Linked DNA regions of Coturnix japonica. The protein of the gene in region 1 purifies or fractionates together with the protein of each later gene. This does not show direct contact. Links are inferred from orthologs where the notes say so. Each region holds a gene or a part of one and is shown in the gene's direction. Other genes may lie near its edges.

The links.
Region 2: the proteins of IRF2 (region 1) and IRF2BPL purify together in Homo sapiens (affinity purification with mass spectrometry; 3 studies listed by BioGRID and IntAct, counting the BioPlex papers as one, with this or other methods). This does not show direct contact. The link is inferred for Coturnix japonica from reciprocal best matches to the Homo sapiens genes IRF2 and IRF2BPL.

The regions. Positions count from the first base shown.
Region 1 is NC_029519.1:34,979,744-34,984,211, forward strand, and holds the start of IRF2 (interferon regulatory factor 2), read left to right. Parts: upstream 1-1,458; 5' UTR 1,459-1,703; intron 1,704-2,298; exon of another isoform or gene 2,299-2,403; intron 2,404-3,449; exon of another isoform or gene 3,450-4,468. UniProt on the Homo sapiens protein: Specifically binds to the upstream regulatory region of type I IFN and IFN-inducible MHC class I genes (the interferon consensus sequence (ICS)) and represses those genes. Also acts as an activator for several genes including H4 and IL7.
Region 2 is NC_029520.1:35,383,775-35,388,223, reverse strand, and holds the start of IRF2BPL (probable E3 ubiquitin-protein ligase IRF2BPL), read left to right. Parts: upstream 1-1,460; 5' UTR 1,461-2,072; coding exon 2,073-4,298; 3' UTR 4,299-4,449. UniProt on the Homo sapiens protein: Probable E3 ubiquitin protein ligase involved in the proteasome-mediated ubiquitin-dependent degradation of target proteins. Through the degradation of CTNNB1, functions downstream of FOXF2 to negatively regulate the Wnt signaling pathway.

The DNA.
Region 1 (4,468 bases):
ATGTGAGATTAAATTATTAGTGAGACTGTAAGCATTCTTCCCACGGCATCTGCTGAGGCATCAACTACGGACTTTCATAGCTCACTCATCCTGCAAACAAATTAAGAGCGTACACTGGAAATGCCAATAGCCACAGAGCACTGCAGAACCAGCCAGGCCAACCTTTCCCTCTGCAGGCTGAGCAGTGCTGGGCAGGCTGCAGGCATTCACGGCTGGGCCCTTTGTGCCACACAGCAAAGTGCTCGAAGCAAAACCCATTAAGAAAACACATCCCACTGAGATGGAGATGCAGAGGTCTATGGATACTGTTGCAGCCTCAAAGCAGCTTCCAGCCTCTAGAAATCACTTGCTTAGGGGGTAGTTTGATGCAGTCTTCACGCTTAACAGCACCTCGTGCTTTTTCCTTCTGCGAGCGTGCTCGGGTGCTTTTTGATGCCCTGTGACCTCTTGGAACTTTAAAGCAGGAAATACTACTGTTCAATTAACTGCTGTGCATAGAGCCTCCTCCTCCCGACTGCTTTTAACCCGACACCTGCTAGTTTCGTTTGATGCTCTCTAGTTCTTACGCTAGAAAAGCAAGCAACGCATCCCTACTTTTCTCTACTACAGTCTCTGCAGCCTAAAAGACCCCAGACTGTGCAGTCACTGGGGCACCAGGGGCACTCCATGTTCTCAGTTGTCTTTGCTGCTCTCCCCTGAGCCTTTGCTGCTGCTCTGGGAGGTTGATGGGCTCCTGGTTGTGCTCTGTTCTGCAGCTCCACACCAGCTTCGTGACAACTGAGGGGCACCCAGCTGACCTTCCCCAGCGTGATGATGACTGAGCTGGGTGGATTCTCACACTGGTCACAGCTGGTGTAGGGGCGGCCTCCATCCTGCTTGGGGTCAGCACTGCCGGCTCAGTGCGCCACCATTTCCTACAGAGACCTCAAGCCCGTAAAGATTCAGCCTGAGTTTCCAGTTACCTGGTTTGGCTTTGTGGATACAGCTCACCCACCTGAACACGTGTGCAAGAATGTAAAGGTAATGTATAGACGTGCACATATGCAGGACAGGTGTGGATGCCACACACTGCATTTAAGCAGGACCTTTTACAATGAGTTATTCCTTATCTCCCACCGTGCTCGAGGCCTTTCCCTCATCATCTCTGGGCAGAGATGACGCACCCGGTCTCCCTTCAGCCATTCGCACCTCCTCGGCACGCAGACACTGAAGGCGGTTGGCAGAACCTGCCGCAGACCGAGAACTTTGGCGAAGCGATGCCGGCTCCTAAGCGCCGTGCTTAGCGCTCCTAGTCCCGCCCTGCTGTCCCCACACGGTTGCGGCCCACGGCTCCGAACGCCCCGCGGCTCCCGGCCCCGTCGGGACGTCGTGGCTCCGCTCGGGCCCCGTGTCCGTGGCTGCCGGGCGTGCTGCGGGCGGGCCGGGGCCGAGCCGCTTGATGACGGGCTCCGCAGCCCTGCCCCCGCCGCTGCGCGGCCGCCCGGCCCGGCGGGAGGCGGGGGGATTTCCAAGCGCCGGCGGCTCGCCGCTTCCTCTCCTTGTTTTGCTTTCGATCTGGACCTTTCGCGGCCCGGGCGGAGGGAGTAACTTTTAGTTTTGCTCCCGCGATTATTCAGCGCCTGTTTTCATTTCCATTTCGCGTCCCCTGGCAACGGCGGTAACCTTGAGGAATTATATAAGTGCCGCGAAGACGCTCCGGAAAGGTAACGAGCGCCCGTAGCCGTGTGATTTATTTCGTGTCTCATTTGTTGTTCTGCTCGTGCTGTTTTTTTACACCGGTACCGCCGTGGCGGTGCGCGCGTCCTGCGGGCAGAGCCCGGCCCTGGAGCGGGGCGGCTCAGAGCGGCACGGGGCGGCTCGGAGGCCGCGGTGCTGCCGGTGCTTGGGCGCGTCTGGCCGTGGGGACAAAGGAGCGGGCACGGGAGCACCGAGCGCGGCCCCGGCGCCGGAGGAGGCCGCGGGCCCGGGCGGGGCGTTGGGCTGCGAGCGGGCCTCGCTCGGATCCCCCCGGCCGCGCGGCGCCCCTTGCCCCGCACTTGTTGCCGCGGCCGTTGGCGTGGGCGCGGCCCGGCCGGAGCGGGCCGAGGGGCTGCGGGAAGGGCCGCGGCGGGGAGCGCTGCTCGGCCCCTCCCGGCCGTTACACAAGCGGCGGCCGCGCCTCCCCCGCCCCCCACCCTCCGCCGCGGTGACGCCCAGCGGCGGGCGGTGCGACCCGCGCGGCGGCCTCCGCTCCGACCGACCGGCCGGCAGCTCCGAGCGTGTTAGCCTCACTGCCGCCTCACTGCCGCCTCGCTGCCGCCGGGCCCGGGCGGAGCGGACGGCCTCGGCCATGGTCGCCGAGGATGGTGGTTCGGGCCGAGAGGCCGCGGGGCCCAGGGCCGCTCCCCGGCGCTCGGATGGCCTGTAAATATCCGGCGGAGAAACGCGGCTGTGGGGAGCGGGCGCTCGTCATTTTAGTACGCGGTGGGAACGAGCTGCGGGCCGGTATCGGCGGCACCTAACGGAGATGGAGCTGGAACGGCGCTCCCCGTCCGATCCGGCAGCAGCAGCGGCCTTTTGTTTATACGGGGCGCTGTCACGTTGCTCCCGTTCGGCTCTCGTGCCCTGCCGGGAGGGAGGCGGCGAGAGAAGGGCCCAGAGCCGGACAGCTTCCCGAATAGAAGTCGGGAGCCGGAGTTCTGTTTGCACTGCAGCGCCGAGCTGTGTCTGGGCACACGGCCGGGATCCAGGCTCTGCAATGAACGACTGCCTCGCCCAGCAGGGCCGGATCCCAGCGGCGTTCAGCTCCTTATATCCCTCTGAGCACCAGACGCAGCAGGGAGTTTCAGGCTGAGCTGTTTATACGCTGAGCTCCCATTAATGTGATTCTATCGATTTCATTTTCAGCACCCAGAACGCTGCTCCTATACATCTGTCATTTATACTGTGCTCAGGTCTTCTGGACAGCGATCTGTTGCACACAGGAGCTCTTGTAAAGCAGAACCAGAGATGAGATACTTCATGTTTAAGATGCTAGTTACTAAATCTAATTAGATTTGCATGTAGTATCCTTTAGCAGTACCAAATAAAGAGAGTTGAAAGTAGCACCGAAATTTGAATTCACGCTGGTGCGGAAATGGTGACACAATTATAAAACTAGCACAAGTGGTCGGGGAGGCAGATGGTTTCTGTCTGAATCACAGCCTTTCCGTGCCACTGACCCCTTCTGAGGCTTCACTGTCCCATAGTGGTGGTGTCTGTCAGAGGCATTGCTCCATGTGCCCCCAGCATGCTGTGGCTTCTTCTTGCTGACAGAACACAGTGTGGTTAGCACGAGTGTGCAGTGAGTCCTTTGGCACGGCATTGCTTCACTGAGGCTCTATTCCATGCGTTTGGCTTGTTACAGGCACAGCCAGGTAACCTTGTGGGGTGGATCATGCTGCATAGAAAGGGGTAACTAGGAGGTTTGAGAAGTAAAATATTGCTGTTAGACAGGGGGTAAGGATCCAAATCTCCGCTGTGTGGAGGCCTGCAGATGTCTGTGGCGTCAGAAAAGCAGTCTTAATGAGACTTAATGAGAAGATGGGTGCTAAGATTCAAGAGGAACTGGAAATATATTCAGAATAGAAGGAGCCTGCATTAGGAAAACAGATTTATCTAGATAGATCCATGTGTGCCTAAAGCTGAAGTGTACACTTATGTATGTGTAATATGCATGTGTAAAAATAAAAGTTTTAAACCAAAACTGAGGAAAACTTATAGGTGAAGAATGGAGGCATATAGGTGAAGAATGTGAAGTTTGCTATGAGATAGCCTCTGTTTGGAGAGGGCCATCCTTGTGGCATTAACAATGCTGTTAATACATCTCCGGGATACAGTACTTGGAGTATCAGAAGCAGTGGAAGCTCAGATACTGTAGTGACAGAGCCTACAGGTGGCCTAAGGATGGGATAGCATCTATGTGCACGACGGGTGCTGGTTGTTAAAGGCCGCCTGTGACAGGAAATAGCACAGGACCTCGTGAATTGGTGCTCCTGGCCTAAATAGGAAGAGCGTAGATGAAGGCTGCGTGGTTCAAGGTGTTGACTGGCTGTCATATGTTAAAGTAGAGCAGAGAAGCGTTGTTTCAGGAGCAGTAAAACCAGGGGCGTCTGTGGGTAATTCTCCATAGTAGATCTTCATGAAAGAAGAAAACAGTTTCTAAGGGGGAGAGGCACTCAGAAGTGTAAAATACTTGCAGGTGGCATGTAATTCTTCAAAGGCAGCATAACAGAGGCTCAAAGCACTTGCATGGCATCTGCCAGCAATACCACAAGAGCTGAAGAAGCCAGAAAGCAAAGTGGAGTGGTTCAGCAGAGGTAAAAAGACATCTTTCAGCAAGTTAATGTTTTGTGCTCAGTGAGAAGGATGGAAAAGAATGTAATATCTGTGTTAAACATAATAAGGTAGGCCAAACAGAGTCATGGAGCGAGTTGCTAGAAGCATGAAA
Region 2 (4,449 bases), on another chromosome or scaffold:
GGCCCGAGCTGTTCCCGCAGCTCCGCTCCGCTTCTCGTGCGAAGATCGGCACGGGGCGGGACGAGGGCAGGACGGGGGGCCGACCTCGCGTGAGCTGCGGCGAGCGGAGGTGACCCGCTCGGTCAGGGGGAGGCGTGCGGGAGCTCAGCCCGGCGGCTGCCGGGAGCGCGTCCTGCCCGTGTGCGGGGGCTGCGGGCTGCGGGCTCACAGCTCCGTGTGGATCAACGCGTTACAGCTCAGCTCCTCGGGGAGCCGGATCCGCGCCGCCAGCCCCGTGTGCGCGTCTCGTGAAGCTTCTCCTTTAACACAGCTCCCCTCACACACGTTTCAAATTCGTTTGCCAGCTTCGTATATTATAACCGGACGCATATAAACCGCTTTAGATAACTAAAAATGGAAATGAGACGCAGTGGCGATACGAAAGGAATTATTTAAAGGAACAACTTTTCGTCACGTGAGCCGTGGAACGTTATTAGCCGGGCACGAGGCAGCTTTGTGCTCGGGTCTCAGGCGCCAGTCAGCGGCCGCGCGTACGGGAGCGTGCGCTCGCACGCATCGCTGTCCGGCCCCGGCGCAGCCCCACAAATCCCGCAGCGCAGCGCAGCGCGTTGCCGCGCCCCCAGCGCGGTTCGGGGGCAGCTCCGCGGCCGCCCGGCGCGGCGGTGGCTCCCGGGTCGCGCTGACGCGGCGGGGGCGCCGTGCCCCTCGCGAGCCGCGGGCCGCGCCCGTGACGCAACCGCGCTCCCGGCACGAGCGGCGCCGCTTCGCGCGACTCCGGCGTCCGCCGCGCCGCTCCGCCCACGGAGCTCGGCGGGGAAGGGCCGGCCCCGTTTGTGTTTCGCTTTCCCCCCGCCGTTAACGTTCCGCTTCTTCGCGTGGAGCGGAGTCGATGCGAGCGCTCTGCCCGGTGGCGGCGTTACGCGAGCATCGGCGGCCGGTTAAAGGGGCAAACGGCCGCGCGTTTCGACGGCGCGGGGGCAATCCTCGTCCTCCCCGCGTGAGCATCTCGGCGGTCCCTCGCCCGCCGCCCCGCCTTACACGGCACCGCGGGGTCGCACACGCGGCGCCGCCGGGGCACGCGGGACCCCTCCGGCAGAGCGCCGGGCGCCGGCGGCCTCACGCCCGGCAAACGAGAGTGAACCGAGAAGGCGCGGCCCCGGAGCGGCGCGCACGCACGCGGCCGCGGCGCGGAGAGGCGCTCCCCGCCGCCGTACCCCGCGGCCGGGCAGGGCGCCGGGCATGCGTGCTACGCGCAACAAGTGGATGCGCGGCGCGGGCGGAGGAAGGCGGCGGGGGAGCGGGGCGCGGAGCCGGGTCGTGACGCGGGGCCCCGCCCGGGCGAGCCGCCCCGCCCCGCGCCGAGCCGGGCAGGGCTGAGCCATGCTGGGCTGAGCCATGCTGAGCGGAGCCGGGCGCGCGGAGGAGGGGCGGCGCGGGGGGAGCGCGGCGCGGCGCGGAGGAGGGGGCGCGCGGGCACGGCGGCGGCGGCGCGCGGTAGCGCGCTCGGACTGCGAGACGGCGGCGAGGATGTGAGTGAGGAGCAGGCGGCGCCGCTCGCCACGCTGCTGCCGCTCCGCCGCCGCTCGAGGAAGTCGCGGCGCTCCGCCCGGGTGCCTCTCGTCGGCGGGACGGATCGGATCGGTTCGGCTCGGATCGGCGCGTAGGGAACGGAGCGCGAGCTCGGCGGGCGGCCGCGGCGGGTGGAAGGTGACCCCCTCCCCCCCCCCCCCCCCCCCCCCCCCCCCCCCCCCCCCCCCCGTCTTCCTCCGAGCACCTCCGCCTCCTCCCGGAGGAGGAGCAGCGCCGGAGAGGCAGAGAGCGCCGGGAAACAGACGCGGCGAGAAGGCGACCCCCGCCCAGCCCCCCGCGGCAGCGGCAGACGCCGATCCCCTCCCCGCCGGGGCAGCAGCGCCGGGAGCGGGCGGCGGCGGCCGTCCCCGGCTAACAGCGGGCGAGCCTCGGCCGCGAGCGGCGCCCGGAGCGGGTACGGACGCTCTTTCCAGCTCCGGCCCGCGGGGGAAGAGCGAGGCGGCCCCGACAGCGGCGGCGTCGGCTCCCCGGCCAGCGGCACCATGTCCGCCGCGCAGGTGTCGTCGTCCCGGCGGCAGTCGTGCTACCTGTGCGACCTGCCCCGCATGCCCTGGGCCATGATTTGGGACTTCACGGAGCCCGTCTGCCGCGGCTGCGTCAACTACGAGGGAGCCGACCGTATCGAGTTCGTTATAGAGACGGCGCGGCAGCTGAAGCGGGCGCACGGCTGCTTCCAGGACGGCCGTTCCCCGGGCCCCCCGCCGCCCGTCGGCGTCAAAGCGGTGCCGCTCTCGGCCAAGGAGGCGGCGGCGGCGGCCGCGGCGGCCCAGCAGCAGCTCAACCATGTGGACGCGTCCTCCAAGGCGGCTTCGGGGCTCTCCCAGTCGGGCCTGGAACGCTACGGGCTGAGCGCGGCGGCGGCCGAGCAGCGCGGCCGCTTCGAGTACCCGCCTCCTCCGGGCAGCCTGGGCGGCGGCCACGGCGCCCGCCTGCCCAACGGGCTCGGGGGGCCCAACGGCTTCCCCAAGGCGCCCGAGGACGGCCCGCCGGAGCTCAACCGCCAGAGCCCCAACTCGTCGTCGTCGTCGTCCTCCTCCCGCCGCGGCGCGCACGGCGGGCTGGTGTCCGGCCTGCCCCCGGGGGCGGCGGGCGCGCAGCTCAACGTTCCCCCCAACCTGCTGCCGCAGACCCTGCTCAACGGGCCCGCCGCCTCCGGCGTGGCGCTGCCTCCGCCGCACGGGGGCCTGAGCGGCCGCGGCGGCGGCGGCCCCCAGGCGCCCTCCGCCTCCTCCCAGGCGGGTGCGTGCGGCGGCGGCGGCGGCGCCGGGGGAGGCGGCGGCCCGGCCCCGGAGGGCTGCGGCAAGCGGCCGGGCTCGGTGTCCAGCAGCGACCAGGAGCGCGAGCTGAAGGAGAAGCAGCGCAACGCCGAGGCGCTGGCCGAGCTGAGCGAAAGCCTGCGGAACCGGGCCGAGGAGTGGGCCAGCAAGCCCAAGATTGTGCGGGACACGCTGCTGACGCTGGCCGGCTGCACGCCCTACGAGGTGCGCTTCAAGAAGGATCACGCCCTGCTCGGCCGCGTTTTCGCCTTCGACGCCGTCTCCAAACCGGGCATGGACTATGAGCTGAAGCTCTTCATCGAGTACCCCAGCGGCTCCGGCACGGTCTTTTCCAGCGCCTCCGGCGTGGCCAAGCAGATGTACCAGGACTGCATGAAGGACTTCGGCCGCGGCCTCTCCTCGGGCTTCAAGTACCTGGAGTACGAGAAGAAGCACGGCTCCGGCGACTGGCGGTTGCTGGGGGACCTGCTGCCCGAGTCCGTGCGCTTTTTCAAGGAGCTGGTGGGCGCCGACATGCTGCCGCAGCCGTACCTGGACGCCAGCTGCCCCATGCTGCCCACGGCGCTGGTGAGCCTCCCGCGGCCGGGGGCCGGCGCCGGCGGGACTCAGGGCGCGGCCGCAGCCTCCCGGGGCCCGGGCGGCGGCGGCGGCGGCGGGAGCGGGGCCATGCGCAAGAGGAAGGCGTCCCCCGAGCCCTCGGACTCGGCCGAGGGGGCCCTGAAGCTGAGCGACGAGCAGCAGCGGCAGCAGTGGATGGCCAGTCAGAGCGAAGCCCTCAAGCTCACCATGTCGGCCGGGGGCTTCGGGGCGGTGCACGGCGGGGGCCCCCCGCCGCCGCCACCGCCGCCCCTCGGGCCCCACTCCAACAGGACCACGCCGCCCGAGTCCGCCCCCCAGAACGGACAGTCCCCCATGGCCGCGCTCATGTCGGTGGCCGACACGCTGGGCAATGCCCACTCGCCCAAGGACGGCAGCTCGGTGCACTCCACCACTTCTACCCGCAGGAACAGCAGCAGCCCCGTGTCGCCGGCCTCCGTGCCGGGCCAGCGCCGCCTGGCCTCCCGCAACGGGGACATGAACCTGCAAGTGGCCCCTCCTCCCCCCAGCGCCCACCCCGCCATGGACCAAGTGCACCCCCAAAACATTCCGGACTCCCCCATGGCCAACAGCGGGCCCCTGTGCTGCACCATTTGCCACGAACGCTTGGAGGACACCCACTTTGTTCAGTGCCCTTCGGTGCCCAGCCACAAGTTCTGCTTCCCCTGTTCCAGAGAGAGCATCAAGGCCCAGGGGGCGACCGGCGAGGTCTACTGCCCCAGCGGAGAGAAATGTCCCCTCGTAGGTTCCAATGTGCCTTGGGCGTTTATGCAGGGCGAGATCGCTACCATCCTAGCCGGGGACGTTAAAGTGAAAAAGGAGAGAGACCCTTGAGTAGGAAATCCGATCCCTTCAGGCTCCTGAAGATGTAGAATTGTGAATATAACGAACTGCAAAAGTTAGTCTTATGTATAGACATTATTTTCGTCGTATGTTTCTATATTTTGAAACAAAGGTATGTACTCTTCTTCATTTGAAGGATAGA